3 linked regions of the Lonchura striata genome follow. The protein of the gene in region 1 binds, or shares a complex with, the protein of each later gene. Links are inferred from orthologs where the notes say so. Each region holds a gene or a part of one and is shown in the gene's direction. Other genes may lie near its edges.

Evidence for each region.
Region 2: GTF2F2 (region 1) and GTF2H5 share a complex: the UniProt entries of both Homo sapiens proteins name them as parts of the TBP-based Pol II pre-initiation complex. The link is inferred for Lonchura striata from reciprocal best matches to the Homo sapiens genes GTF2F2 and GTF2H5.
Region 3: GTF2F2 (region 1) and POLR2B share a complex: the UniProt entries of both Homo sapiens proteins name them as parts of the TBP-based Pol II pre-initiation complex. The link is inferred for Lonchura striata from reciprocal best matches to the Homo sapiens genes GTF2F2 and POLR2B.

The regions. Positions count from the first base shown.
Region 1 is NC_134604.1:60,919,122-60,929,340, forward strand, and holds the start of GTF2F2 (general transcription factor IIF subunit 2), read left to right. Parts: upstream 1-5,703; 5' UTR 5,704-5,792; coding exon 5,793-5,858; intron 5,859-10,219. UniProt on the Homo sapiens protein: TFIIF is a general transcription initiation factor that binds to RNA polymerase II and helps to recruit it to the initiation complex in collaboration with TFIIB.
Region 2 is NC_134605.1:53,865,424-53,876,216, reverse strand, and holds GTF2H5 (general transcription factor IIH subunit 5), read left to right. Parts: upstream 1-5,752; 5' UTR 5,753-5,825; exon of another isoform or gene 5,826-5,920; intron 5,921-6,715; 5' UTR 6,716-6,774; coding exon 6,775-6,809; intron 6,810-8,366; coding exon 8,367-8,547; 3' UTR 8,548-8,769; downstream 8,770-10,793. Other genes in the region: protein SERAC1, read right to left, coding at 67-198, 1,125-1,214, 1,544-1,680, 1,987-2,023, 3,380-3,470. UniProt on the Homo sapiens protein: Component of the general transcription and DNA repair factor IIH (TFIIH) core complex, which is involved in general and transcription-coupled nucleotide excision repair (NER) of damaged DNA and, when complexed to CAK, in RNA transcription by RNA polymerase II.
Region 3 is NC_134606.1:58,661,411-58,672,329, reverse strand, and holds the start of POLR2B (DNA-directed RNA polymerase II subunit RPB2), read left to right. Parts: upstream 1-6,812; 5' UTR 6,813-6,873; coding exon 6,874-6,892; intron 6,893-7,072; coding exon 7,073-7,145; intron 7,146-7,969; coding exon 7,970-8,120; intron 8,121-9,581; coding exon 9,582-9,694; intron 9,695-9,965; coding exon 9,966-10,185; intron 10,186-10,919. Other genes in the region: NOA1 (nitric oxide-associated protein 1), read right to left, coding at 753-869, 2,376-2,507, 3,673-3,884, 4,594-4,758, 5,800-6,733. UniProt on the Homo sapiens protein: Catalytic core component of RNA polymerase II (Pol II), a DNA-dependent RNA polymerase which synthesizes mRNA precursors and many functional non-coding RNAs using the four ribonucleoside triphosphates as substrates.

The DNA.
Region 1 (10,219 bases):
TAGAGGAGTGCCAACAAGCAGCATATAGGAAAAAAGTGAGTTATCAGCAAAGGCCATTAGGTGGAAAAACTTTGGAGGGAACTGGCAGGCAGCACACAGCAGTAATGAAGCAGACACCTCTGATATCCCCAGTTAATTATCTCAGTGAGAGTTTGTTGTGAGGCGCTGCTCTTTGCTGTGGCTGAGCTGCAACTAGGTGCAAGGGTGGGACACGAGGTTAGATGCACAGCATGTGGCTCATTTCCTTTAATGACAGCAGTGACACATGTGGCATTGAAGAGTCCCAGAGTGATCACCTCTGAAGCAGTGACACCCACAAACTAGATGCCTTTGTTGCATTTATATGTACACACAAATTCAAAATTGTATACACCTGCCTATGCTTTCAGGCTGGCAAGCTTTCCAATAGAAGTGCCCTGTTTTTATATAGGAGCATTGTAGATTTGTTCTTCTGGTCAATAATGTTGTTTTTGCTCAGTTTAGTCACACAGCCTTCTCCTAGTCTCATTGGAAGCTCCCTCTGCAAAACAGTAGTTCATTAGGAGATAATTTATGCATCAATAACATACCTTGGTGACTGTTCATTGCCTATACCTACAAAATAAGGGGAATATCAGTGCCATAGAATTAAGTTTGTTAAATTATAACATAAGGGAACTAAATCCATTGTAACATTTTTTTTCAGTAGCTGAAGAGAAAATGCCTTGCTCTTCACCAACTCATTAGTGGAAAGTCCAGGAGATGAGCGACTATAGATGCTGCTGACCTTTTGTGCTGAGGTAGTACATTACTAGAGAAGAAGATCAGAAAAAATATCAAGGAGTGCAGAAGAACAGGTTAAACTCAGTTCTATGTAACATTTTCTATATACCTACAATGAAAAGGCACTTTAGAAAGTAACAAGTTGATGAAACCTCACATTACCTTTGTACTATTACTAGGTTGAAAATGTTGCATGCTTAAAGCTCCTTCTTGAGAGACAATGGTGAAAAAGGCTAGATAATATTTTTTTATGCCTGAGAGGCACAAAAAGTACCTTGAGTTAAAAAGATAATGCCGATTTTATGGTCATTAAAAAAATTATTTTAAATTAGGTTCAAACCAAGTATCTGAAATTCTCTAACAAGTGTTTTCTTCCTTTGAAAAAAATAATTTGCAGTTGCGTCTTTCAATTTTCTCTCTTCCCCCACTCCCACTCCTTCCTTGATATGGTGAAAATCCTAATAAGCAAGAGTACAAGCTGCCTACAGCCAAATTTACTGCACACTGTCAATCTGATGGAAGACATGGTATGGGTTGGAACTGCAAGCAGAGGCGCAGCACCATTACTGTGAAAACGAAGTATTCTCCAATATATAGCATAGATAAAAATGTATGGCTGTAAATATATAGAAAGAATTAAAAATTATAAATGAATGAATGAAGGCTGCCATCTTTTCAGAACTGCCTTTTTGTGTTGTGTTTTGCAGCAGAAATGCCATGTTGAAGATTTCATACTGCCTAGGATTTTACTGAAATAGGAGCTCAGCCCTGTGGTTGATGTTTTCCAACTCTGTGCCACAGAACAGCTTGGACTAAACAAGTCTGTTATTAACATGTTGCTCAAAAGCAGTTTGAAAACACAAAAGCTCCAACATATATTTTGTCTTAAAAAGACACACTGGAAATTCTTTGCTGCCTCAGGAAATAGGTATGCAGACCATACCCTGTTTTGGAGTAAGTTACGCAGAATTTATTTTCTCTTATTTAAAAATAAATAATAATGATCTGCCCAGATGTTCTTTTTGTCTTTGCAGATTATTTCTTCTCTTTTTTTCCAGCTTACACAGACCAACTGCACCACAAACGAGAGAATGATGCATTACAGTTGAAGATGGCAAAAGTTTTCCCTCCTCTTACTCAAGCAGTTCAAACAATAATGGTAGTTTTGAGATTTAAGTTTGAGTTTTTGTGGCATCCTCATAAGTCCATGAGGTCTTTGCTGACTGAAAATTCAGGTATTCAGAATAAAGGCAGCACTCATCTCCTCCAGCACATGGAATCCTCTCTGATGGTGTCCATCGCTGATACTCTGTGGGAACACCGGCTCCCAGGAGCACATCTTCCCTAGTTCTTGCTGGGCTTTGAGGAAAGCACATGGGTTCCAAAATGCAAAACTCCCATCAGCTTCAACAGGGAAGCATCAGGCTTTTTGCATCTTCCGCTGCACTGATTTTCACCAACTACCACCAGGTTGCATCAATTAGCCTGTTCCTAAAACATTTGAACAGAAATTCTGTGTGGCTGCTGATGATGCTGCCAACTCTTCATCTCACCTAATAGGACAAGAGGAAAATAAAAATGAAAGGCTGTGTAAGTCTCAATTTGGCCATCTCTCTTCTCAGACACATCTGTTTCCATGCAAGCAAGAAGAAAATGGGTGACTAACACACAGCTCTGCAGCTCAACAGCTGGCCCCTGGGTCCTCCTCCATGGCACTAAATGTGTCCCTGGTAAACACAAGGTTGAGATTTTAAATGAGGAATTAATGAAAATGCGTACTTTTTCCTGCTTGTTGTCCCTTTAAATTCAGTTTCCATGGAAACAGCTATGGAAAGGCTGCCTGGAGGAAGCCAGGAAAGATCTCTGCCTGGTCGCCTTCCCCTCTGGGTTGCCAGCTGAGCCACTTCGATTGTCAGGCTTTTACAGAGGTTTTTGCTATCGTCATTTACACATGGAATATGAGTGATGACTCCTCATGGATTCCCTCCCTAAGGAGTCCTGAGGTGGTCAGCCATGCTCCTGCCACCTGCTGCTGGGCTCTCTGCAAGTGGAGCTCCTCTCCTTCCATCTGGTGGAGCACAGGCCCATCTGAGCCCCCATGATGCTGCTTTGCTGCAAATGTCACCCCTGTTAGAGACATCCATTCCATTGCTTTTTTCTTTTGAAATGTGATGGTGCATGTGATCTGAGTACACAGACTGAGCTGGGAGCAGTGGTAGAGGGACAGTTTTGTTGTTAATTCAGTGTTTATCCCGGGGGAACATTTGAGATCCCTCCTGGAGTACTGCATCTAGCCCTGGAGCTCCCAGCACAAGGCAGACACTGACCTGTTGGATAAGGTCTGGAGGAAAGGAACTAAAATGGTTAGAGGGCTGGAGCACCTCTCCTATGAAGACAGACTGAGAGATTTGGGCATGTTCAGCCTGGAAAAGCAGAAGCCCCAGGGAGAACTTTTTGCAGCCTTTCAGTATGTTAAAGGGGCTCACAAGAAAGAGAGACACTTTTTATTCGGAGCCTGTAATGAAAGGACAATGTGCAATGGTTTCAAAGAGGGTGGGTTTAGATTGGACATCAGAAAGAAATGTTTCCAAATGAGGTTAGTGAAACATTGGAACAAATTGTCCAGAGAAATTGTGGATGCCTTATGCCTAGAAGTGTTCAAAGCGAGGTTGGATGGAACCTGGATGGACCTGAGCAACCTGGTCTAGTGGCAAGTGTCCCTGCCCAGGGCAGGGCGTTTGGAATTAGGTGGTCTTTAAGCTCCCTTTCAACCCAAATTGTTCTATGATCCTATGAGCAGGATCCAAAGCAGGTTGTAAAGCAATGGTGTTTGTCTGTGTAGATCCAGATCCACTCTTTTTCCAGATGAACAAAACCAAAGGGTCTTAGACCTACAATATTTGGGGGTGACACAGTCCCAGAAAATGGGGCTGGTCTAACTACTGTTGAGATGCACCCACTTCCATTTTTATTAGCATTTGAGGAGCCCTTAGTAGGCCTATGTAAGGTTGTCTTAAAGAAAACTGAATTTTCAGTGGAAGTTAACTAACAGTAAAAGATTTATCCACCCTCCAAGCTGAGTTCTACAGAAAAACACAGTTCAAATGTAAAAACAAAAGCAATTTTAAAATGCAATTAATTTTAAATGTGACTTACCCTAGTCAATATAATAGTTCAGTGTTAGCCATAATTGCTTCAGATACATATAAAAATGTTGTCCTCCTTGGTTACCTAGATGATTGCCTATAATTAGAAAGGCAGACTCTCATATCTGAGATATAATACTACTGAGATCATTTTTTATGAGCCAGATTAGCAATTTCCTGCATATTGTACCAGAAAATACCCTCTGCTTGCTGCTGGTACAGACTCAGATAACCTTCACCGTTGAGCAACCAGACTTCAAAGAGGATGTAAACTTGTACTGGGGGCAATTCAGAGAGCAATGGACATAGCCAGAGGTCTAGAGAATAGACCTATGAGACTGAACTGAACAAACGGAAGTTATTTAGTATGAGAGGAGGTAAATCAAAGGGCTACATCTCAGTAAAAGGATAAAATAAAGAAGAGAGGAAGCTAATGAAATGCTTTCCATGCCATAGAATCATAGAGCAGTTTGGATTGGAAAGGACCTTAAAAATCATCTAGTTCAAACCCCCTGCAGTGGAGAGGGACACCTTCCATTAGACCAGGCTGCTCAGAGCCCTGGCAAACCTGGCCTTGAACACTGCCAGGGATGGGGCATCCACAACTTCTCTGGGCAACCCATGCCAGTGTCTCCAGCATGTCCATGTCTTTCTTGTGCCTATAGTGGATAGAAGGGAGATAACAAAGTTAAACTGCAAAGGGGGAAAACTTCCCCAGAGATAGTGACAACTGTAAAATAAGGACTTGGGTTTTTCTTAGCCAAATACACCCACCTCAACCTAGGATGGGCAGGCACTTTCCTGACACAGGACATTTTCAGTGTCTCAGATGCCCTCCTATCTTTGGACAGCCTAGCCCAACACTTCCTCATGAGTTCTCTTTCTGGAAAGCTAAGCTTAAATCTTTACTTTTTATTCCCAGGAAGTGATTCACCAGCTGTGTTTTCTAACTTTCTTGGCCTTTGAGCACACCATGATGCTCTGATTCCCTTTCACAGAAGCTAGTCCTCTAGCCACCATTTCCCTCCTAAACAGAAGGGCACTATCATGGTAGTACCTCCTCTCTCCAGGCTTCTCCTCCAGTCCTTCTAGATCATTACAGCATGCTGGGATAACTATTCTGGTACCAGGAGGGAATAACTTCCTGCTATGCTCTGCGCTGGTGCTGCCTCACCTCGAAACCTGCGTGCAGTTTTGGGTGCTGCAGTGTAAGAAAGACATTAAGCTGTTGGAGAGCGTCCTAAGGAGGGCAATGAGGATGGTGAAGGGCTTTGAGGAGAAGCTGTATGAGGAGCAGCTGAGGTTCCTTGGTCTCTTTATATTGGAGGAGACCGAGGGGAGCTCTCGCTGCAGTTACAGCTTCCTCGGAAGGGAAGAGGAGGGGCAGGCACTGATCTCTCTCATAACCAGTGACAGGACCTAGGGAATGGCCTGAAGCTGTGTCAGGGGAGGTTCAGGCTGGGTATCAGGAACAGGTTCTGCACCCAGAGGGTTGTTGGGCACAGGAACAGGCTCCCCACGGGAGTGGGCACAGCACCAAGCCTGACAGCGCTCAAGGAGCATTTGGACAGTGCTCTCACTGTCCAAATGCGACACTCGGGCACGTCCTGTGCAGGGCCGGGAGTTGGACGCGATGGTCCTTACACGTGCCTTCGAACCTAGGCTATCCTGTCACACAGGAACTTTCTGCGGGGGATTCCCGTCCCTTCCCACGGCCCCGCCCGGGCGGGGACCCGAACCCGCGGCTCCGACGCAGCGGGGCCCGCCCCGCCGCGCCGTGCGGGCGGAGGAGGTTTGTCCCTCACGGGCCGCCGTGTGCCGGGTGCGCTCCGCTGCCGCGCTCGTCTCGCCCGGCGCCCGGCCCGGCCCGGCCGCTGCCCCGCCATGAGCGACAAGGGCGAGCTGGACCTCACCGGCGCCAAGCAGAACACGGGCATGTGGCTGGTGAAGGTGAGGAGCCGCGGCCCCGGGCCCGGCCCAGCGCGGCCTGTGGCAGCCGGGTCCCTCCGTTCGTCCCGCCCCGCCGTGCCCGGGTTGGCGCCGTGAGGCCGCGGCTGCCGCGCCAGGCTCGGCCGGTGGCCCGGGACAGCCGCTGTGCCTGCTCCCCTTCCCGGGGACAGCGCGGGCTTGGACCCCGTGCCCGATCAGTAAAGGAGACACCGCAGGGCTGCCGGGAGCTATCACAGAATCAGAATGTTGAGGGATTGGAATGAGCCTTACAGTTCATTCAGTCCCAAACCCCCTTGCGGTGGGCAGGGACATCCAGGACTAGACCAGGTTGCCGAAGGCCTTATCCGGCCTGGCTTTGAATATTTCTAGGGATGGGGCATCCACGGCTTCTCTGGGCAACCTGTGCAATGTCTCACCACCCTCACAGTAAAACATCTTTTCCTTGTCCTTGCTAGTGGTTTGCGATGAGCAACAAACGTGGCCATGTAACTTTTATTTCTCCAAAACTTTGAGAGTTGGACAATGTTTTGAATGTGCCCAGATTCACGTCCTGATTAAAACTGTCCACATCCAGCAAGGAAAGAGGATGCCAGTGTCTTGTCATTACAGCTGCCTTTGGTGCTAGTGAAATACAGCTGTAGTGGGGGGGCTGTGAAAAGGTAGCGAGGGTGTCAAATCAAACCTGTTTGGTGCAGGGCCACAGTCCAGCCTGGTGCCACCACTAACAGGCTGGCATTGCTCTGTTCCCTGGAGTCAGTGTTTTTGCTGTCAAGACATTTTCCTGCCAATACCAAGCATTGTTTCAGAAAGGGGAACTTGAAGCTGATGGGGGAGCATGTGCCCTGCCTGCTTCGTGTCCCCTCTGGGTGTGCTCCTCTTTTTCTAGACCTATATTTATTCTGTCTTGGGAGAAACAGTTCCTTCATCCCCTTTGTTCTTTAGGAATAGTTTCAGACCATCAACTTGAAAGAACCTGTGGGGACAGGTACTAGTCCTGGGTGGTGAGGGGGGTGTAACATCATCACACTTCAGCTACTAAAACTGCTTGCTGCGGCCCTTAAAAACGGTTGGGATTTCAGACTTGCTTTGCTGTGCAGAATTTTTGGTGGGCAGGTTGCTGTGTTGGCTTCCTCTTCTGATGGCTGAGTGTGTGATATCACAAAGCCCCAATGAGCACTGTGCAAGTGCTCTAACTGCAATAGCTTTTCCCTGGTGGCAGCAGAAACCTGCGGAACTGGATCATGACGTTCTGAGTGACAGGATGATAAAATGGCAGATGAAATTAAGAAATTAAGATCTGAAAGAACTAATCTGGTGTGCTTAGAGAAAAACTATCAGAATTATTTGTATGCAGCAGTTGGGTTTCTGCTGGTTGTTGTAATTCAGGAGGAGTGTTTTTTTCTGTACATGGAGATAACTCTAAGAATATGTCAAATGAGCAGAGCCAACATTGGACATGATTACAAAAAGCACAGAAAACAAAAGAGAAAATATTCTTGTACCATCATGTTGCCTCTATCCAGAATGCTCTGCGTAGCCATGGTCTCATTCCCCCTACTGTAGAAAGTGTGCAGACCCGGGAACAGTAAAAAGGAGATCACCAGATCTTGTCTTGGCAACAAGGAATGATGGCTGTGGAGGGAACTCCTAAATACCAACCTTTTAGGCTGGCAAGAGGATTGATTTGGAAATCTTGCAGAGATCTGAAGGAATGAGTAATGTCATGGGTGGATAAGGAAGAAGTGAATAGGCAAAGGTGAACAGGAAAGAATCAGTTCAGACACAAGAATTAGAGGTGTGTCAGATTAATTAATTGCTGGGGCTCAGCAAGAGCAAAGGAGGTATTGTTTTGCACAATGTGCATTTAAATTTTGGAACTTCTTGCAATTAGGAGTTCTGAATTTCAAAACTTTGCAGAAGCTCAAACACAATCAAATTCTGGCAAGAAAATTGACTTCAGAGATTAAAAAGTAATATGCTGACAAACCCCATGTCTGCTAAAACACCCTAGAAATTAGAAGAGCATGCTGGGGAAATAAATTTTCTTCGTATGTTCCTCCTGAAGTAACTGCCACTAGCTGCATTTGGGGACAGGACACTGAACTTGCTTGTCCTTTAGTCTGATACAGTTTGATGTTTCCTGAAGCAAGGACTTTTCAGGCAAATTTGTTCTTACAGCTGGTGCCACTCTGTTTAATGAGAAAACAGGACTGAAAGGAAAGCTGGACTATTACTCTTCCGAGTAAATGTTGATGTAGTCCTTCATGCATGTGTTCTGACCTTACATCTGTCTTCTTTTTTAGTAATGATAGTAAAAAATACTTAAAAGATGCTAACACTGATAGATGATAACATGGGGTATGCAGGATTTTATCTTTTGATTTCCTTTGGACTTGAACTTGGAAACAACCACATCTGTTAGTAGGACTTCCAACTCAGAGGCAAGACAGTGTAGTGTCTGTGTAGTACCTGTACTTTTTATCTTCACTAGCTAGGGCAATGAGGATGAATTTATCCTTCCTTTGAGGGAGAGAGCATTCAGTTCTGATGGAATAAAAAACCTGGCTTATTTGATTTCCTTTTAGCATGCTTTGTGCTAGCACAGGAAGTATTCCAGAGAGGCTACTTAACGGGCAATAAAAAAAGGTAGTGATGAGTATTTTAGAAGCATGAGCAGTAAAAGGAGGTACTATAAAGAGAGTGAGTTGCTTTAGTACAAATCCAGAAAGCCACTAGATTTTTATTTTTGTGTTTTCAGTGAAAGCTAAAGTGGAGAAATAGTAGTAGTATTTGGTTATGTACTTGTGGTAAAGTGAAGCCCATTTAGTGTTAGCCATTAGAATGTTAATTTCTTGCTCTCTGAGTGTGTTGGTCAGATTTTTTAATTTAATCTGTTGCATTGTCTTATAGCTAGAAAGATGATACCTTTATTTAATTATTTTTATATGTTTAAAGAAAAATTTAAATATAGAATCTGACATCAGCCTTAGTTTCTGTTGTATGCACTGCATATGTATTGCTATATAGAGAAAGAGCTAATTTAGTTTTTTGCAGAAAAGTGGAATTAGTTTGTTACAGAGAGGGACTGCTTGTGTGTTCCCTTCTAAAGGAGGTAGGAAGCTGTGCCCAGGCTGAAAGATGAGTGGAGCAGGCGCCCTTGTGTCCTACACTGTCTGTAGCATGCCTCGTGTACTGCAGCCTGGGCAGTGCTGTGATGTGAGTAGCAAGAGGAGAGCAGCAGTGGGAAGAAGTGAAGCTCCTTAGTACATCACATTTGTTCTAGTGATTAAACTGTAATTTTTTTTCTTTTTTGGAGAGAGAACTGTTTGTACCTGCAAATCCCAGAATAAAGACCACTTGTCCTGAAACAACATTCAGTTGCCTTTTGGTTGGGCAGGTCTCTCTTTCTGTGCATATGTAGTTTTCAAAATCTTTCTGTGGGATCTGTGAAAATTCTGCCCTATAGAAACAGGTTGCTCTTGTTTTCTGTGCATCTTTCAAGGACTGTTAAGATTTTGAAACCTGACTCTTTACCATATTTATTATGTTAAAGATAAAAGAAAGGTGCAAAACAAGATGTCTATGGCATTTAAGACTTTATTTAGTCTTTCCTGATTGTTTATGTCATTAGCATGTATGTTTGTGCGCAGCACCTGGTTTTATCTGAAGTACCTATGGGTAGCTGGAAGTAATCCTTTGATCACAGCCCTTCATAATTCTTTGTCTTGCTCTGCATAGCCCTTGACTGCAGGTAGGCCAGCAGAAAGATGATTAAATGCACTCTTTGAGACCTTCCCATACAGTATGATTGATCTGCAACCTCTTAATCTGACTTAATTCCCAGTCTGAATGTATTATATAGCAAGTCAGTGATTTTAACACCATGAGAGCCCTTCACTCCTTGTCCACTCATACTGAATGTGCATCTACCTTATTATCTGGCAGTATAAACAGAGATTAGGTGTAAGCATGTAGTAATATTTCTGTTGAGCCAGCTGGAGCATGTTATAGCATTTATCTTGACTTTAGAAAGAAAACGGTATCTGAGCTGGTATGGGATCTGCTGTAGAAAGTTGCCACTTTGAAAACTGAAAAAATACGTACCAATAGATAGTGCCAATTCATGCCTTTCTGTTGTGCTTTTGAGGTATTTTTGACCAAAGTTGTCTGAACTTTATGGGAACCTGGACTGCCATTTAGTTTGTTTGAGCAGTTGGAAGCATCTCGATTTTGTAGCTGTTCCACATGTACTTCATGGGGTGCTGTGAGTCTAAAGGTAAATGCTAACTAAGCACCAGTTCCAAGATCTGGGGTTCTTGAATAACTGATAAATGTAAAGTTAGTGTTAATTTAATTTGAGC
Region 2 (10,793 bases), on another chromosome or scaffold:
ACTTGGAACGGCTAACTGAGACTGTGGAATTTCTGGGACAAATAAGGCTACATCAGCATACATTACCATGCCAGTGACTGTTGCTTGCCAGGTCTTGTACAGCCTGCAGTCGGATTGCTTTGTCTTCTGACTGACTTCTCTTTAAGAGAAGCCATAAGGCACACTCATGATCTTCTCCATCAAAGGTACTGAATTGTTCTTTGACCAGGAAACAAATTAAATCCAAGTAAATCCATTATTCTTAATGAGCATTTTAACCAGCCACGTTTCTCTTTGTGGAGTAAGGAAATATGTAGGTTTTTTAATATTTGAATATTATTTGTTCACAGTAATTTTACAGTAACATTTTAAACTTAAATTAGTAAAATGAACAAGGACAGAATGACATCAGTAAAATGCTGATCCTAAAAGTGTGAGTCTGTCTCATTTTAGTGGCACGAAGTTGATATTTCAACTATCTATGTGACACACATAACCCCTGGCTGGCACTGATCAATCAGAATTACCATCAGGAGCTGCAAATTATTAGCAACTCTTGAGGCTCTGACTTTCAAGAATTAATTTCATAAGATGACAGTGGAGATGCACATTGCTATTATAATTTCATAGAGAGTTAAATGAGAATAGGCAGTATGCCTCAAGAGCACAGTTTCTGATACAAATGGAAGTTCTTGTTTCAAATTACTTGAAAAAGCAGCAACACTGATAATAAAAACTACTGCTTTCAGTTAATAATGTCAATTTTGATGAAAGCATACATACTTTTCTAAAATGAGACTTAGAGTATTTCAACCCACAAACACCTTTTTTACACAAAAATTATATCAAATATTAACTTGGTACTTTAACTTTTAAATTTCTTCTGGAATAAGGAAAAAACCAACCCTCAAATCTTCTCTTAACCATCACTTTCATTTACTTTAAGAAAATAAATTGTTTTAATACACAGAAAATAGACAATCGATTGATAATCCATATAAATAAAGAAATTATAAGCTATATTATCACTGTTTCAAGAACAAAAGAACATGCTAACTTTGTAAGAAAAAATGTTTGACTTCCTAATTGCCCTACTTCTTACTGTTAAAAACCAATAATCATAAAGTTCTGCTTTCAATACCTACCATTAAAAGGTCTCCGGAAGATTTTAGCTTCTGTTTCTAGAATTCTCCTCACTGCTTTATGGATTTCTTTTCTGGCTTTGTATGTAATCCCTAGAAGAGTATTTTTATATTACTGGAAGTCTGAAAGACAGTTCCCTCACCTCACTTTTCATAAAAATATGGAAAATTAAATACACCCACATATATATAGACATTATATAAAGAGAATTATCTGATATATAGAGAACTACATATAGAAAGAACTACCTTAAAAAAAACCAAAACAAAACAACAAACCAGTCAGCTGCTTAAATTTGGTAATATTTCTTGGTAACAGACTTCAGGAAATACAACTTTACTTGTTATATAAGGGTGACTTCCAGAAACATTCTATTCTCTTAGAATTCTGTTTTCAGAACTCAAACAATTATGCATCTTACCTTGATATTCACTTGGACTTAGAGAAGCTGTACGTACGTATACATAGGATTTAAGTTTTTCTTGATGTAAAGCTTGAGTATCAATTTGCAGTAACTTATTTAAGGACAGGACTTCATAGGTAATGAATACAAAGCCTCTTTAAAGAAAAAAAAAACTGCATATGAATATCAACAAAAACAATACAATAAAAAATAGCAGTCACATTGGCATAAATGATAGAGATTTTACAAAATACATAAGTTTGTAGATTATTTTGATTTAGCAAAGTAGAGAAAGGCTATAAAATACTTGAAATAAGTTATAACTATCAGAAACTGTGCTTCAAGACTATATTCTACCATGTCTAACATCATCTAGTATTATCATTATTTTGGACAGATACACATATTAAAATTTTAACTCTACCCATAAGTTACATATATACTCATTAGTTACAACTTACCCTAGTATAAGTGATCCAGTTACCTTTGCAATTTTTCCTTGAAAAAATCAAAACCAAATGTCAAAGTTGGATGCATCACCTCAATATAAACACAGCTACCATTTGATTATCAGACAATAAGAATACCAAATATTAAGAACAAGCTTTAAAAAAAAATTCTATTGCTCTCTAGCTTTCAAGAAATTATTAACCAAAATTTACAAGTGGAGAAAACATTATTTGATTCGGATTTCCTGCTCTCCTGAGCAAGATGATAAAACATGTATCCTGCCAGTTCTATTTACTTTGAATATTGCTACCTCTCAATTGCATACACTGCTCAGCTACCAGAATCAACAGCAAACTTTCTCTGCCTGTAACACTAGCAGTAATTTAGAACTTGAAATAATTTTAAAGAGTTAACTTTTTCTTACAGGTTGCAGCTATTTATTCAATGTATATATTATTACATACAGGACTATGTATGGTTTTTGAGAAGTCCTGCAAAGTCCATAAGCAAATACATAAAAAAAAAATTCAATTTAATCTAATGTGTAAAGCAAACAGATAATAAACACATGCTACTAGCAAGAATTTGCCATTTAAACAAAATTATTCCTTCCAGATTTCAGCTACTTTGTATCTACAAAGTTGATCTGATTATCTGGATATAAGGATCTCTATACAGATAAACTCTTATCATTACCAGGCAGCAGCAAACCCAATGTAACACATCTCACTTATCATGAACAATTTCTTTTCCTCAGCATGAATTGCGAGATTTGCCCCACAACCACTGCTACCAGCTTCCCTATCTGTGAGGCCATAAGAATTTTGTATGCAAACAAGAGGCAGCAGCTACATGTTGATGACATAACTGGCAGAGAAGTTTGAAAAAGAAAAAACAAATGCAATGCTTCCTGGAGAGCAGAAATTGAAATATCCTATCTTTAATGCTCAGAAATAAATTTCAGAATTGCAAGAATTGTCATTATATGCTGAAGACACCAAAGGAAACAGAGACTAAGCAGGGCTTGAAGTAAATAAGGAAAAAGAAATAATAAAAACAAGCTTTATTCAATGTTTATGAATGTAATTATTTCATGGCTCTAGAGATTACCAGAAAAAAAAAAAAAATCAGATACAAGTGGAATTAAAGATAGTTTAAGGAGATCACATTTAGTTAGGGAAAGACCCTCATCAAGTGTTTGTATCTGCTCCCAGATAATCTGCTGGTGTCATATTACAGATCACTATGCAAAGCAAGGTCAGAATCAGAGAGCAGGGACAAACAGAAGCTTTTAATCACTAAGCATTCAAGGGTTTAAACCTTCAGTATCATTGAATTATGCACAGTGTCATGTTATTCCTTTTTATTAACACCTCAGATCAACACATAATGAACTGTACTTACTGATATCATTCCAGGGTAGATGCTTTTTTGTGGCTGGACCAGAAGTTCCTATTTTTCTGTAGCAAAATACACAGTAAGCAGCCACTGACATTCTGCATATTGGGGAGAAAAACAGTAATTATAAATTTGAGAATTACAGCAAAAATTCTGTAGCATTTTTTCTTGTCTTTTTACAGCAAAGGTCACAATAAACCATGTTTGTGTCATTTTGCTCCATATAAAGCACTCGGACTAAAAAACTCTACAAATTTCTCAATTTATGGGCTGAATTCTCAATTTAGGGGCTGAATTTAGGTTATAATAAAAGCTTAAAGCAGTTTTTTTGTCAATTATGTTACTCTCTCTAGTGACTAAGTATGTCCAATTAACTTCTCTGCTTCTAAGTTTCCTTTCCTACTTTTTAGTCACTCTTCCGTAAATACCAGATACGGTACTATATCCATCAAGACATTTCTCAGCATGACATGGGCTTTAATACAACTCAGTAACCAACCCCATTTAAAAGTTCATAATTTATTGTGTTGGCAAGTAAGTCTTTTATTTTGACTAACAAGACTTAAAGAACTACTACATAAAAACAAACACTTTTTGCATACAGTGCAGAAGTAACATGAAACTCCTATCTTCTAAGTGAAATTTTAGTGTCTGCATTGGTGCAATTATACTAACTGAAATATTGTGTTAATGTGTTTATAGAGATGTTAAAACACACCAGTATTTCTCAAATACGAATCAAATTAGGTTTCTGGTACCACAATCACAATTAACTCAAAATGATAAAATGTCACATGTGTAAACCTGATGTTGAAATATGGAAGCCTGATAGTCTCCTTGAGTTCAAGGTAATCTCAGCAGACCAAGAAAAGTGTTTATATCAGTTTTATCATCAGTGTCCAATATCTCTGAACAAAGGACTCTTTTTAACATGTCTTCCCTCTTTTCTTGTTTCCCAGAAAGTTTTGTTTTTCCCTTTTCTCTTGCTTGTGTTTGGGAGATTTTTGAAAAACATCAGCATTACCCCAGCATTGCCAAAATTACGGCAGACTGCTTTTTGACTTCCGTCATTTCAACCTCGTTTATCCATTCACTTCAATTGTGAAACACTTTTAAGATTTTGATCATCAGTCCTCTAGAGACAAATCTCCCACCTCCAAACTCCCTGTCTCATGACAGTTCCTTGGTTCATAGAATCACAGTACTCACATTTACTCTCTAACCACAATCTGAAATAAACATGTGGTTCAGTGACAGCAGGTGCCACAACTACTAAAATTTAGAACATGCACCTGCAAACACAGCAGGCTCCTCCGTTGCCAGGAGCTCCTGTTCAGGTCCAAGGGCAAGCATCAAATCATCAAATGTTAAGGGTCTGGCATGGACCTTAAAGATCACCTAATCCCTACATCCCTGCCATGGGCAGGGGAACCTCCCACCAGACCTTGTTTTTCACAGCCTTTTCCAGCCTGGCCTTGAACACTTCCAAGGCTGGGGCATCCACAACCTTCCTGAGAAATCTGTTCCAGTGTCTCACGACCTGCACAGTTAAGAATTTCTTTTAAAATATCTAATCTAAATGTCTCCCCTTTTCGCTTGCACCCATTATTCCTTGTCCTACACTACAGCTCCCGATTAAGTGTGCCTCTCTGACTTCCCTGCAGGACCCTCAGACACTGGAATGTGGCCGTGGGGTCTCCACGCAACCTCCTCTTCTCTAGGCTGACCTGCCACAACTTCCTCGCTCTGCTGTCACAGGGGAAGTGCTCCAGCCCTGTTACCAACCTCGTGGCCCTTCTCTGGACTTGCCTAGCAGCCCCACGTCCTTGTGATGCTGGGGAGCCCAGGTGAGGTGTCAGCAGAGCGGAGGAGGGGCAGAATCGCCGCCCCGGGCCCGCCGCCAGCTCCAGCCGGCTGCTCTGGGGCTGGAGCGCGCACTGCCGCCTCACGCTGGGCTTCTCGTGCTTAGCCACATGCAAGTATAATGCAGAAGGACCCATTTCGCACCGTTCCACAGCTGGCCCAGGCAGCTCCGAGCCCCGTCCCGCACCGGGGTGCGGTCCCCACCCGCCCGCCGCGCGACTGCGCATCTGGGGCGTATTAAAAAAAAATATATATAAAATAAAAACACTACCGCAAACACAACTTTAAACAATGCAACACGTAGACGAGCAAGGAGGCAGGCTGGGGTGGCTCCGTGCCTCTTTCCAACGGGGAGGAACAGCGCGCCCCGAGCCCCATCCCGCCCGCCCAGCGCCTTCCCGCGCCCCCGGCCCGGGCCGCCGCTCCCACCTTCCGCCTGCGCCGCGCTCCCCGCGCGGCCCCGCGCGCCGCGTGACGTCAGCGCGCCGCCGCCCGCCCCGCCAATCCGCGGCGGCTGCCGGGGCCGGCCTGCGCGTGCGCGGGCGGGGCACTTCCGCCGGCGGGGAGGCGGCGCGGGACGAGGGCGGAGGTGAGGGAGCGGGTGAGGGAGCGGGACCGGTCCGTACGCGGCGGAGGTGAGGGACCGCACCGGAGCTCCTGGGAACCCCTCTGAGCAAGGAGGAGGTGAAGGCCAGGACGGGCCAGCAACTCCGCCGGGGAGTAGAATTGTCGTAAAGAGTCTTTGCGTAAAACCGAGGCGTTATTTGTTTGGATTTGCGTGTTGGGGGTGTGTGGGGCGTGTTGTGCTTCCACATTTCCCGTGATCGCCAGTGCTGTTGTAGATGATAATGTAATACTGACTTTCGCATTTATTTCGCTTTTTGCATCGCAAGTATTTTGATACGGTACAATTTATATTTACTTTTAACTGCTTTTCTATAATATGACCTGTCAGCTTATGTGTGCACTGTATAGTTCATATGAATGTGAATAGCGTGATAAATATATTATATCATAACTTTTAGCAAACTGTTAAAATAGACTAAAATGCTTCAATGTAGCTGACTCACAGAATCGCGTAAAACAATTATTTTATTTCTTACATCTGCGGACTGGCCTCTCCAAGTGATAACAGTGACAGAAAACAGAGCATAAGCATTCAGGAAGGATTTATTGATTCTTTGCTATCAGGAAGTGTGAAACAACAAGATAGAGCTACGGGAAGAAATAAAATATATGGATCTGATCTACAGAATGTCCTGCAGACAAGTCAGAGGTTAAAACCAAACAAGAGAAACGTCAAAATCTCAAAAGCATGTTTGAATAATGTATAAACTGTTGAATTCACAGGTAACCCCAGCAATGTAACTATAGAGAGAACAGAGGTTTTAGGCTATCTCCATGCTCTGGAAATTTGTCTTTCTTTTATCCTTTATTAAAATTCTAAGAATTCTAAAGAGTGAACTCTTTTTTTCACAGTGTGATCCAAAACAGGGGTTGCTCTTGCCGACTCTTCAGCATTCATAAGAGCTGAGAAGATGGTGAATGTTCTGAAAGGTGTTCTGGTTGAGTGGTGAGTAGCAGCATTTACTGCCTCTCCTCGTGTCAAAGACTGTGTTTCTTTAGACCTGGAACTAATCTTAAGTAACTGAAGAGTCCAGACAAAAGGAGGTATTGTGGGGAAGGGTGGTGCTGAACAAGCAGAGAAAAGTGCGGCCTTTGGGGAAGAAAAAGAAGGCAATTGTGGATAGTCATAATGCCAAAGGCCCATTTTTCTGTTCAAGAGATTGTTTTCCACTTATGCCTAACCTCCTTAAAGAAAAAACTGCATATGAATATGGAGTAAAAATATGATGGTGAAAAAGTTAGAAATCACATAGTTGTAAAAATCCAGGTTATTATTTTAATTTAGCAAAATAGAGAAAAGGATGTAAAATACTTCAAATTAGCATTCACTATGAGAAATTATGCTTCAAAGCTATATTCTACCATGTCTAATGCTCCCCTAATATTGTCACGTCTTTTGAAACGTTTACAAGTTAAACTTTTAGCTGTATATGTAAGTTATCTATATGCTTGTCAGGTACAACTTAACCCTAGTATGAGCAATCCAGTTACCTTGGCAATTTTTCCTTGCAAATATTAGATGCTCCCTCTTGTTCTTTGTATTGCTTGCGAGCAGTTTCTTGCTGTTGTTTGTGAATCAAGTGTTTCTTTACTGATTCTTGAGGGAGACGAGGTAATCTTTCATTTATTCATTCCTGTTTTGTTTTTATTTAATCAGCTCTAGGCTGAATTTGGTGCAGGGTTAACATGTGGTTCTGTTTGTAGATCATATTTGAAATGAATGTGCTTGGAGTTGGTAAATGTCAGCTTTTTGGTGTAGGTGCAATGTACCTGTTTTCATATAATCTCATCTTTGGACTGAGACTCAGGCCTCTGGCTACCTCCAAAATTAAAGGAAGCATCACTCAAGATTTGTGGGGTCATATAGCGTTACATGATGTGTAAGATTTCTGCTGTACACTTAAGTCTCCTAATATGTTTGCAATCTAAAACTGCACAAAAGCAGTTCCATACTTCCAAAATGTTTTCTTCTAAACAATTTAAATTTTATTTAGAAGGTGATATCATGACTGTTCAGTTGGAGTGTGAGAAATAATACAATTCTTATATGAGCACTCTTTGTCTGTGCTATACTACTTTGAGTGAGATCTGTGTTCTCCTGTCTTTTGGTTATCCCTATACTTTAAGGAAACCTGTTTTTATGAGGCTATTGCTGAAATCAGAAATGTAAATTCAGTCTTGCCTTATTAAGGGTTGGACTTTTGAGTTTTAGTTTTGGTTTGGGAGTTTTTGAATCTGCTTTAGCAGCAGCAAACGGAAATTTCTCTGCTAATCAAGCAGCTGGTTCTACTCATTAGACTTTATTACAATTTTATTTTTGTCTCTATAGTAACCAAAACCACTTGGAAAGAATCAACTTTTACTAAAGTTTCACAGAGTGTATTTAAGTTATGAAAATTAATTTTAGTTTTCCTAAACCCTTTAGGAATATCTCTGAATGGTGTTTCTTTTGTTTGTAACTATAACTTGTGAGGTAGAGTCTGATGTGTATTTGTCTCTACAGTGACCCGGCAATGAAGCAGTTTCTGCTCTACTTGGATGAGTCAAATGCTTTGGGAAAGAAGTTCATCATACAAGACCTGGATGAAACTCATGTCTTTGTGTTAGCTGAGTTGGTCAACTTCCTCCAGGAGAGAGTGGGCGAGTTAATGGACCAGAACTCGTTTCCTATTACTCAGAAGTGAGACAAACCAGAGAAATGAGATTACTGCAAGTTTTGGAACAGTGAATTTCAATAGTTTGTGTTGTTACTGTTTTAAATAGATAACACTGTGGCATGTAAGTCCTACATAGAAGTGGCTACTATAGAAAATGCATCATTTTCATAGAAAAAAATAGTCTAGAATTGGATTTTGTTTCTCATTTTGAAAGAATGTGGTATCTTTATTAAAAGACTTAAAATTATACACTTGAGGAGTTCCCTTGAGAATTCTTGATGCATGCTCTCTGGTTTTCCTTTAGGTTTTTATCTTGCAAGATATGACCCAAAAAATAGAGTAGTGTTTCTGTATTGGAATGCTGTATGAGGTCCTCTGTGGATGTGTTGTGTTCCTGTGTGTGATTGAATCTGATTATAGTGTGACTGATAGAAAGTAAAGAATGTCAGTTGAAGTATGATCTGTGCTTGATGGAACATTTGTAAATTGGAGGCATGGTCAGATGCTGCTCTTAACTGGATGGGTTTTATACAGCAGGATGAGAGTTGGTCTGTTTTGTGGTGTTGTTTGAGGTTGGGAGCGTTGGGGGTTTTTTGTTAAAACATGTTACAAATGCCCCATACTACTTACCTACTTTTACCAAGGCTGTGCTTTCCGAGTTGTTCTGAGTTTGGGGAGAGGTGGTGGGAGTTTGGAGTGGAAGGAGGGATTGGGACAACAAGATCTATTGCCCTAGACTATTATAAACTAAAGGGGTGACAGAAATTAGAGACCAGTCCTATAGATATAATTGCTTGTATTTTTTCACTGAAGCCAGTAGTCACAATAAGTTATGTGATCAGACTCCCAAGCTCTACCTAACAATCAAGAAAGCTGGGCTTGGATTTTTGGTTATGAGGGGATGTTTTCAGCTTAGTTATTTTTCCCATATTGCCTTTTGCTGTAAAGAAAAAAGCTTTGTATTGTCATGGTTTGGTTATTTGGGTTTTTTTACTCTGTATTTGTAACTTTAGCTCAGACACTGGCTTAACTTTTAGATAGATAGATGCCACCATTTTGTCTTTGAGAAAAAGAAGTGTAAAGAGAAAGGCTTTTCATAAGGAACAGTTTTCTTTACTGACTCTCCCACTACTGCTTGTTTTCTTTTGTCCAGTAGACAGCAGATTAATTGGTAGGTTTATCCTTGTTTTTTGTTCAGATTGTTTTTTTCCTCAGAAGGAGGAATCTTCAGGAGAAAATTTCACTAGATGTTTTTAATCAAAAAGCTGTCCAGAGAAAGTTTTGTAGAATTGTGTATATTCGAGTTCATGGGATGAGCAAATAGCCCTGCAAAATTTAACTTCATGACATTTCTGGTACCTTCCCTTTTCTCTGACTGTATAGAACAATGAGTTTGGGTCTAAATTGTTTAATCTTTCTTTCACAAGTGGGTGCTTCCCTGGTCATGTAGATTAAGAACCAGCCACGTGTCTTTACCTGAAATAAGAAGTTTAAATCTTATTTATAAATGGTTTATGGTTTTTTATCTCTTTCTTGAGATTGATCTCGAGAGACTGATCAAACACTGACCTCATAATTTATTTTGTGGAAGGTTGTTGGGGGGTCATTTAATGGAGAAATAATCAGTAGTTTTAACATGGCATTATAGCCTAATACAATTTATTTAGAAGGGTGTGTTTCCTTTCTTTGGAATCCTAGTTTATTTTCCATCCAGATTCTGCTGAAAGGTAAATCATCCATCACTCTTTTCAAACTACAGCATTTGAGAAGTCATGTTTGGAATTCCACATGTTAAGCTTCTCTGTATATCGCATGCCTAGTGCTCCATTTCTATTGTGACTTTCCTTTTCAGTCTGTAATAAACTTCTTGCAGTTCTTGTCTTTTTCTCTGGTTAACTGTACAGCTTTGCTGCTGTCTTCCCTGTATTTCAGCTTAAATTTACAATAAATGGCTTACAGAGGGTTAAAAGTAACCAAACTGTATAAGCTAAACAGTTGGGCATGCATCTTATGTTCTCTGCTCACAATTTGGTTTTTTTTGAGCAAACAAGTTAATGGACTTCTAACTTCTAAACCTGTCAATACTTTTATTCCTTCCTGTACCCTAAGAAGGCATAACCAATTCTGTGCTGGAAGAATAAACAAATGATGTAAAGATGTAAGTTGGTATCATCATATGTAGTCTAAGGAACTGAGTTCACTGTAGTTCCTAGAGAAAAAGAGGGTCTTGAATCAGGTACTATGGTGAAGGAAATCCAATGCAGAAACTTTTA
Region 3 (10,919 bases), on another chromosome or scaffold:
ACCTCAAACTGGCAAGCAAGGCACAAGGAAAAATAAAGACATTAAACATTTGTTAGCCAGTCAAGAGCTGGACTGAATAACCTCCAGGAGTTATTTCAGGTTTGTCAGAACAGTCAGGATCACATCCAGAGGAACCCTGTGGGAGGTGAGCAAAGATGTAGATAGAACCCACCGCAGGATGCAGCTGGTGGATCAGGCCAGCTGCCTTGATGTGAGTAACAGCACATGCTCTCCATGTGCACAGGAATGGAAATACCAAGACAGGGACACCTCACCCCATCTCCCATCAATCTGCAAGTACTACACAGAATATTGCCACACCAAGGAAAATGTCAGACCACCAAGAGATGAAGATATGTGCAGAAGATCCAGCAGGGAAAGAATAAGAAAATTTTCAGCTGCAATCTGTTCTGAAACCCCAGACTGCAGGTTTGCAATGGAAAATATCCCTATTGCTGCCTGCACTTTAAGGCTGTTCAAGAAGAGGCAAGTATGACTAAGCAGAGAACTACAAATCTTATCAGCCTGAATGCTAGAAGCAGAAATTCTGCTGAAAATGCATCATCTTGAGTGCTCTTTCCTAACACACTTCAGCCACAGTCTGTGCAAGACAGCTCCACATGGCACATTTCCACTCACCCACTGCACAAGTCCCAAACTCCTGATACCTGTGGATGTTCCCTGTCAGTTGTACCCCAGACAGGTGTCCTGCCTACCTACAGCCACAAGCTCCCCCCAGAACCTCCCCTTACCTTTAGGAATTCTTGGGCTGCATGCTTCTCATAGACAGTGTCTGCATTACCCAGTGTAGTAACATGGACTGGCAACAGGTTAGAAGCCAAGACAGAAAACCAGGCAGGCTTTTCTCCCTGAAATTAATACCAAAAGGATCATAACTATGTTAACAGAAAAGCAGCCCTGAATTGCTCCCTCCTGCCCCATTTCCTTCCTGCATGTTGAAAATCTGCCCTGCTTGATGCCCCTTCCCTGTTTGAGAAGTCCTTGCCTCTGTCAATGACAGAAGCCATGGTTTATATAAAATTGGGATTTGAGCTTCCAGAAGAGAAGACCAACAGCTTCACCATCCTGCCTCAAAGCACCCCCAATGCCACATTTATGGCCAGCACAGCTGCTCAGCTCAGGTAAATCATCCAAGAGAGATCTCTGCTCTCATTTAATTCACAAAAACAAACTCAGTGTGCTTATTCACTGCAAGAGGTGATGGACATCTGGTAGGTACTTCTTCTCCTATCACTCTACACTTGTAACACACTATGCTCATTCAACAGTACTAGGTTCCAGCTGCTCTCAAGCTATGTAAAGCCAGTGGAGCGGTTTCAGCAGGCACTCTCATCACATTTGCAGGAAGAGAGAACAAGGTCAGGGAGGGGAGAGATCTCTCCAAGCACTGCTAGCAGCCAGAAATACGGGCAGGAATTCCTCCAGGTTCAAAGGTCTAAGCTGAGGCAGGAGCTTCTGTCATGATCTGAGCACAACTGTCCTCCAAGATATCAAGTGGATATAGATACACAAGACTGATACATTGATGTGTGCTCCTGCCATATAAGAACATTTTTTACTTTACAGAATCCTGCCCCCTATACCTTTCTGGTTTTCTTCCAGCAGGTCAGGAGTGTCCTTAGCAAAGTACCAATTCAACATTTCTGTGGTGATTTTTGAAAGCAGACTGAAACAAAGGAATAGCCCTACACACCCCTAAAACAGGGCAAGCTACTGAGAAAATTATCTAAGACTTATGATAATGTCTAATGTTCTTATGAAAGAAGCTGCCCCTTACAGAGGAACCATCATAGGAGGTCAATTCCACACAGTTCAATAAAGGTGTATGGCATGGGGTTTTTAATAAATGGAAGAAATTATTGGCAGGAGGGGACACATTTCAAAAATACTTTTTACAGAAACTAAAATACATATGCAATTAATTGCTTCCTCAGGCAAGTTCTTCAGAGGTCTGCCAAGAAAGAAAAATATCTATGCTGTTCTCTCTTAGCAGGCAGGTTTCACAAAACACAGAAATTAGGAAACCCACCTATTTTCCCAGTTCATTCTGACATTCTCCTCCCTCCCTCATGCCTCTCTGTATGTCATGAGAAGCACATTAAACTCAAGATGTTTGTCAGCATTCCAAAGAAGTTTCCATTATATACTATGCAATATTGCATGCTGGTACCAAGTAACAAACCTTTCAACTACCTATCCCAGGGCACTCTGACTTTATGCAGTGATTAAATAACTGATTCATCATCTCTAAAGCAGCAATGAAAGAGTCTGGGAACGTTATCCAGAAAACCTTTTATCGCTGGTACTACAGTAAGAGATAAAGCAGCTGCTCCCAAAATCCTTTCTTCCTTTACCTCTAAGTAGTCTATACGTCCCAAGGCTGCTAAAAACAAGACCATTCCTGGCTTGAGAATAAAAGTCCGTGGAACAATGGCATGTGATGGCAAAACCAGTTTTACTTCCTTCTCTGTTAGGAGATTCAAAACCTGCAAAATAAATTGTCATAACTCATTCCAGATGTTTCAGTGGGAACAATGGCATTAGTACTGGCATTATATTGATAGAAGAAAAAGTACAATCAAAGCAATGTCAAGAACATATGACACAACAGTTCAATTATGGTCTACGCAGTAAGCGAGAAACAGAAGAATCTCCCCTGCCAAAATCTGCCACAATCTGCTTGTCCTCCACTCAGACTGATCATTGACTGCAGGAACAAAATTTGATCTGAAACTTGGCATGGAGCTCTCCAAAAGAGAGTGTGAGGATAATCAGAATCAGAAGCAACTATTTCTGGATGCAGGAAGTATTTTCCACAAGTATCCAACTCTATCAGAAGGGAAGGACACATACAATCAATCTCAAGATACCAATCCAGGTCTCTAAGCTGATGCCAATCTTTATAGAGACCAGAGTGCAGGTTAGTAAAGCAGGTTATGCTCAGACAAATACATTACTAGAAAACAAGAAGTCTTCTAGTGTTCATGAAAACAGCAATGGCACTCAAGCTGTAAAGTCTCAGCACTATTTTTGCACTTCATTCTCTTCAGAACCTTCCTGTCTGCCTGGTCTATTTAATCTTCCCAAAAAGATGACCTGCAGCTGTGCATGGGTACTAAAAGACTTAAAGTAAAAACGTTCCTGTTTTAGACATGTGCAATTCGTCAGCACTACTGACAAATGCCTGACATACTGGAGCCAGTAGCAGCAACACTGCAGAACCTCCTAGCTTCAGGAGAATGCTTTCTCTAAGATGGGGTTTGGTCATACAACTCTGGTTATCCCCCTAAGCTCCACCTTCTTCTGTAGGTTGGGAGAACTGAAGAAGTGTCAGCTCCATTGGGTGATGCTGGTGTGAACTTGCTAAGAGCATTCTTGCTTACTTCCCTTGGTTCAAAGGTTGTGGAAGCTTGGTGACACAGTCCTGCAGCTCCTTTGCAAAGCTGGCAGTATTGCACTACTCAGAAATGCAACAGCATTACCACATGAACCCCTCTCCGGTACATACAAACCTTATCTTAATACAATTCCCAGGCAAAAAGAATCCTAATGCCAAGACTATGGCAGAAGCACTCTCCCACAGACGCAGCTAAAGCAGAACAGTCCTCCCAAACCCTGTCGCCCCAAAACACAGCACCACAGAGTACCTACACAGTCTTCCTTTACAATTCCTGGAGTGTCAAAACACCACCGAGCATCCTTCACTTCATTGTGAATGAACTCTTCCCTCTCCTCAAACCTCTTAGGGGGATCACTAGGATCTTCATCTCTAGGATCTTCATCCAAGCTGTAAGAGAGCTTGTCAGGGTCGAAGTCAATCTCAGCGCTAGACTTCTGCTGTTTAAATGTTCTTCCAACTCTTCCTGAATTAAAATGAAAGGTTTTCCTGGTAATCTACTTATTAGCTTGCTTTCCTTCAATCAAACATCTGCCCCTTTCATGGCTTAAAAGAAACGCACATCAGTAGTATAAAGGTGATGAAGACACTATGTGGATAGAAATTTGTGTGCTCAAAAGCCAAAATGATAAATACTTTCTATAATTCTTGCTTAGCACTCCTCATGCCCCAGAATCTCAGCAGGGACCAGATCACAGACACTTAGTTATTTCCAATTTATGGTAAAGCAGGCTGCTTTCTATTTTCAATGCCTCAGACTGCCAAACACAAAATTACCTGAAAACCAGAACTATCTTCTGGCAACCCCTTCTTTTGAATACATACTAAAATGATGTACAACCCTTGTAGCCTGCAGCTCAGATGTGATTATTTAAAATTAAACTTATTTTCTTTATTTGGGAACAAGAGATGGCCCATACCTGCAATATAATAACCTTGCAAACTGCTAAGCTATCAGAATTTGCCAGCCTCCTTCAGAGAGGAGATGCATTGCACACAGGAAGCCTCTGCTACTACAGCAGCTGACAAGTATTCAAAAGTACTAATGATGCTGCTTGTAGAGGAGATAAAGGCCTTGTCCCCATTAATCTGGGAGCAAACACTGGTCAAAATAACTTAACCTTTGTGTGATGCAGTGTTTCCATTAGGGGCAGAAAGGCAACACCTTTACTCACCCACTAGGTAACCTTGCTTTTTAAGTTGATTAAGGTACTTTTTTTCTTCACTGCTTAGCTGATCTTCTGTTTTTGCTGCCTCTTCTTTTAGCCTCTCCTGCCTTCGGAATATCCTGTCACACGTAGGGTTAATAATTGGAAATTTCAATAGGTTCAGTGTTGTTCCTGGGAAAAACAAACAGAAGGCATTTTTGGATCTCTGACTACTTGACACATTTCAGCTCTGAGAAACAAGATTACAAAAAACTGCTTCTTTAACTTTTTGGTGAAACCCAGTAACACAAAGTCAGAAGTGGAACTACAGATGCTCCCATAAAGTACCAGCCTCCCAACTTGGGGAAGCAAAAACAAGCCATCCACCTGCTTAAGAGCTGTTCTCTTCTACAGTTTGAATAAAAGGGTCTCAAAGCTGAGTGGTGCTGAGCCTTAGCATACCCCAGACAAATCTCAACTCCAGACATCTTGGTTTGACCTACAGGTGCTCACCACTCCACTTCCTGGCCTCTCCAGACTGGAGGACACCTCTAATGGATAGGGACAGAGCAAGGCATGCACATCAGGTGCCATCCTAACTGGCAGGGGTGCACACAGACCCACTCTGGTTTAACAAGCCTCTTTAGTGCTACAGGATGTGCAGTACACTCAGGAGGACATGCAGCCCATTCCTGCTGCCCCCTGTGAGGAATCACAGGATCAATTACGCTGGAAAAGAGACCTCTGAGATCATCACCACATTGACTAGACCATGGCACTGAGTGCCACATTCAGGCACAGTGACTCCATCATCTCCCTTGGCAATCCATTCTAATGTCTAATCACCCTTTTGGTGAAGAAATTCCTGCTAATGTCCAACCTCAAGCTGCCCTAGTGCATCTTAAGACTATGTCCTCTTCTGCCACTGGCTGCCTCGGAGAAGAGACTGCCTCCCACCTAGCTACAACTTCCTCTGGGTAGATGCAGGGAGTGGTAACATCTCCCAAACCTCCTTTTCTTTGTGTTAAACACTTCAGCCACTCCTCCCAGGTAATAATGTGAAGCACGGCACACTTCTGGAGCTTGCTGCCCACCATGGAGGTACTGCTTTGGTGACAGGTTCTCCTGCCGCAGGGGTGGCCAAGAGCAGCCTAGAGGCACATATCTCGCTTTTTTCTGCACACCCCGCATTCCCCATTACCCGGGCTACAAAGGGCCGAGCAGTGCCCTGACCTGGCCACGAGGACACGGTGGCCCTGTCGATGATGTCGGGGGCGCGGGACTTGCAGTAGTCGGAGCGCAGCAGGGTGTTGAAGAGCGTAGACTTGCCCGAGTTGGTGGCGCCCAGCAGGTAGACATCGCCGGCGCACTTCCAGGAGCGCTGCAGCCGGCTGACCAGCCCCTCCATGCCGTAGCCGGTCTTGGCGCTGACCAGGCGGATGTCCACCAGCGCGGCTCCCCGCAGCCCGGCCCGGGCACAGGCCGCCGCCACCCGCTGCCGCAGCCGCCCCAGGTGCCCGCGGCGGTCTGCGGGCAGCAGGTCCACTTTGTTGCCCACCACCAGCACGCCGGCGGCGGGCACATCGGGGCTCAGCAGCGCCGGCAGCTGCGGCAGCACGGGATCGGGCAGCTCCGTCACGTCGAGCACGTACAGCAGCAGCGGCCCGCGGCCGTGGCGCCGCGGGCGGCGCAGGGCGTTGCTCAGCACGCGGCGGTGCTCGGCGGGCGGCAGCTGCAGCGCCGGGGCGCCGCCGCCGTGCGCCAGCGCCCAGCACCGCCGGCACACGGCGCCGCGCAGTGCCGCGGGGCCCTCGCACAGCAGGTTGCGGTACCTCTCGGCCGGCACGAAGCCCGGCGCGCCGCCGTCCCCGCATTGCAGCTCGGCCCCGCAGCCCGAGCAGCTCACGCCGCTCGGCGGCACCGACGGGTCCGACAGGCTCGGCATCGCCACTGCCACTGCGCGCCGCGCCCGCCGCTCCCGCCGCGGCTTCAGCTCCCACTCCTGGCGCGGCGCCCTCTCAGCCGGGTCCCGCTCGTACTCGAGGAAGACGAAGCGCTCCTGCTCCGTGCCGTGGCCCGTCGCCGCCGCCCCGCACGGCCGCAGCGGGGCGCGGAGCGGAGCCAGGCGGGCAAGGCGGAACAGCCGCGCGGGGCCCAGGCGCAGCATGGCGGGGCTGCCTGACGTCGCGGGGCGCGCGGGCGCCTCGCGGGAGACGCGACGTGACGTCACGGGTCGCGCAGCCGCCGTCCCGCCGCCGCCGCCACCGGCCCGCGCCCGCCCCTCGCTCCGCCGCTCCCGCCGCCACCATGTACGACGCGGACGAAGGTGAGGGGTTTGTTTCCCTTTTCCTTCTCCTCTTCTTTCCCTCCCGCCCGGCCCTCCCAGGGATGGAGCCGGTGTCCGCGGGAGCCCGGAGATGGGAGATGCGGTGCCTCTCCCCGAGCCAGGCGCGGGGGGGACACGGCGGCGGTCGGAGCCTAACTCACACCTTGTACTTGCCCGCAGATATGCAATATGATGAGGACGATGATGAGATCACGCCCGACCTGTGGCAAGAAGCCTGCTGGATTGTTATTAGGTGACCTGCTAGAACTTGCTGTCCTTACCCCGCCAAAAGCTGTGCTCTCGGTCTGCAGGGACATCCAGCTAGCTCCCGGGAACACGCCTGGGAGCTGCGGTTTGGTTACGCTAAACTGTGTTGCAGCACCTTCAGAGCAGGAGGGCTTTTGGTAGAAACAAAAGGCTGTCGGCTGGGATTGAGAAATTCTGACCCCCAGCACACGCGTTTTTCAGTGAAGAAAGGGGTGGTTTTGGTTCCATATCAAGCACGTGGTTTTGCCCATTAATCTCACTGTTGTTGCTGGCATTAGGAAATCAGTACAGGGGTATTTTCACCATTTTTTCTAGCAAAATGTGAGCATCCAGAACCTGTGTGGCTGGAACACAGGGAATCCAAGTTAAAAGTTGAGTACTATTACTTGGAATTGGGGGCATCCTCCTAGTCTACTGCAGCTAGGAAAATTAGTTGAAGCAAAGTAATTCATAGTGTTACTGAAAACTTGACCTGGAGCCCTTTCAGTGAGGTTTGTCATCACGTTTCTCTTCCAATTTAAGGGAATTTTGAGGCACTCACCGTGCATGCAGTTGTGGCTTAGCTAAGAGGTGGCAGCAAGTCTTGTCACTCCAAAGTGTCTGTGTCTTCAGGCAGGGAGGGAATTATTAAACATTTGTGAGGAGCATCTGTGTTTGAATGCCTTGGGTTAAGTAAATATGGTTGATTCTGTACTATATCTCATGGCTTGTGGAGTTTTGGTTATAAATATGTTTTAAGTTTGTTGGTGTGTGAAGTATATTAATTAAATTAAGATTTCTTATTAACCTGGTTTTTTTTAATTTTTTTAGCTCCTATTTTGATGAAAAGGGTTTAGTCAGGCAACAGTTGGATTCCTTTGATGAGTTTATTCAGATGTCTGTGCAGAGAATTGTTGAAGATGCTCCACCAATTGATTTACAAGCTGAAGCCCAGCATGCCTCAGGAGAAGTGGAAGAGCCAGTAAGTGAAGAACCTTGGCAGAGATTATGTGTTTTTACAATTCAAAGTCATTTGACATCAATTCTGTTCAACTCCTGTCCTGCTGTTTGAGCTGAGAAATGACCAAGTGGCTGCTGTAGCTCATATTGTCAGTTCCTCTGCAAAACTGCATGGACAGAGATTTACTAGAGCAGGTCAGGTAGCCAAGAGCAAGCTGTGTTTTGGTGAGATTTTGGTTTTAAGCAGCTTTACTGTGGCAAGGCTTATAGCTGAAAACTTCTCTTTAGCTTTGACTCAGGTTAGGTCCGGGTTTTCAAAGCGTGCTGTTGTTCATGTTCTTCCCTTGGAACTATGACAATAGAGATTGTCTCTATTCTGCACCCCATGATGAGTGTGCTCCTCTACAATGAGTGTGCACCTTCTGCAGTGGCTCTGGTGCTTTCACCTGTATCCCTGGTGTAGTCTGATCCCTGTTCCATAAGTGCAGATGGTGATGAGCCATTGCCTTGCTGTTAGTCACTACCTTGATGCTTCCCTACAGGGATTTAAATGAACTCTAGGACACCAGAGCGTTGATTTTATTACATGGTTTTCCTGTTCCTTGGCATTTTTTGCCAGCAAACAACTGTCCTGTAGAGAATAAGTGAGATGTCTTTTGGTTTCTTTGCTAGGCAAATGGTTCATAAACATTTAGCTCACTAATTCTTAATATTTTCTCTGTTATTCTGTGTATATTATGGCAGAATTCTGTATTTGTGCAGTTCTGCAGCTGATGTTTGTGCTGTGCTTGGTCTCTGTTCAAATCAAAAGTATGGTTTGTGCTGGGCTTCTTTTTGCCCGAATGCTATTAATTTACTTTCTCAAGTAGTGTCTTATTCTCATTTATGATTTGCAAGTTTTTGGGAATAGGTTTAGAGATGAGAAAAAGAAAACCTGTTTTTTCCTCAGAGTCACTTGCAGGCAATCTCTCACCACATTTGAAGATGCTGGACTAATTTAAGGAAACCGTGTGTATTAGGAAAACTTGATTTTTTTGTTTCTGTCTCCCTCTGCTTCTCAGTCTCAAATTTTGAAGGCAGTTTAGAGCACATGAGAGGGTTTAGCAACCATGCTCAGAGATAAGAATGATGGTATTCTCCTTAAGATAGCTTTCATGAGAACTTGGCAGTTGCTGCAAATCCAGGAAAAGGTGTTTCTTCACATAAGGATTGAGGTTTTTTTTTACCTACAAAACATTTGCAACAAGGGTGTGCCACCTCCTGTTGTAGGAAGCTTTTGTGCATTTTAAGAACCAGATAGTTTTTCAAAAACCTCAAGTCTTAATTTGTTTACTTGTCTTATCAAATCTTCCTAGGAACTGGTGCTACCCAGCTTGCTGTGTTTTCATTTATTGGTAGTGGCTGTTCTTCTGCAGTAACAGTTCTGGTTGCTAATAGGAGAGATGTTTCTTCCATTACAAGTAAATATATTCTTGTTTTCCAGCCCCGATACCTGTTGAAGTTTGAACAAATCTATCTCTCCAAACCTACCCACTGGGAAAGAGATGGAGCACCCTCACCTATGATGCCAAATGAAGCCAGACTGAGAAACCTTACGTAAGAGCCAACTCTATGGTGGATAAACACAAGGAAGAACTGCCTCTGCCTTATTAATTAATAACCTTTTGCAACATAGTAGTGCCTTAAAAATGTAATAATTGCTGCTTTATTTAAACTTCCATGTCTAGTTGTTAAATGCAGATGGTGATTGGTGATTTGGTAATAATGCTTAATACACTTGTGTGTGCTTGAATAACTGCCTTCATTACTCAGGGTTGTAAGAAAGGTAGTAACTGACAGGTGATGCAGTGGTGTTTTTATTCTGTAGGTATTCTGCCCCCTTGTATGTGGATATAACTAAAACAGTTATTAAAGAAGGGGAGGACCAGTTGCAGACCCAGCATCAGAAAACCTTTATAGGAAAAATTCCTATCATGCTGCGTTCCACGTACTGTTTGCTGAATGGTTTAACTGACCGTGATCTTTGTGAGCTGAACGAGTGCCCACTTGATCCTGGTGGCTACTTCATCATTAATGGATCAGAAAAGGTAAGGGATATACCTTACACAGCTATCTTTGCAGACACTAGCAGTTCTGTTACTTGTTCCCATATGTTTTGCCAGGAGCATAAACACTCTTATTCCGGTGTACCAGAGATACTGTGGGAGCTCCTGATCTTACAGAAAGATGAGCTTTTAGTTGTCTCTTAAGGCTTTCTCAAGACACCTTTTCTTCTCTGAGGCACATTTGCCATCTTCAGTTCTTCCCTTCTTCGGTTTTGTGAACTGCTTTTCATTTTGTGAACTGTTTGCCAGTAAGTGCTCTGGATATTTTGATTTCCTTCTTCAGTATTGCAGAGCAGCATGCATTCTGAAATGACGCAGTTCCTCACTCTGAGTGTTCTCCAGCTTGTTCACAGCTATACAGATGCATTTCATTTCAAGAAAAGGTACTTGTCTCTATTGCTGTGGAAGCAGCTTCAGAAAATCATATCTACACCCTGTTAATGCCTCACCAGTGAAACTGACAGGTTTTTTCTCTCATAACCTGGGGAAACACAGCAAAATAATCAGAATTTTTTATTTCTTCTTGGGGGAAAACAAATTCTGGCTTTGATTGTTGAGCTGGCATTTAAATTTGCCTGTGTAGTGCATTGGCCTTGGAAAAACAGATAGTGAAATGCTTTCTTTATCAGTGTGTGAAATGTCTCAGCATAGCCAGCATGTGTGGTAAGTAATAAAAGACAACAGTGTTCCCGGAGTTTATTCCACCTTGACTAGCT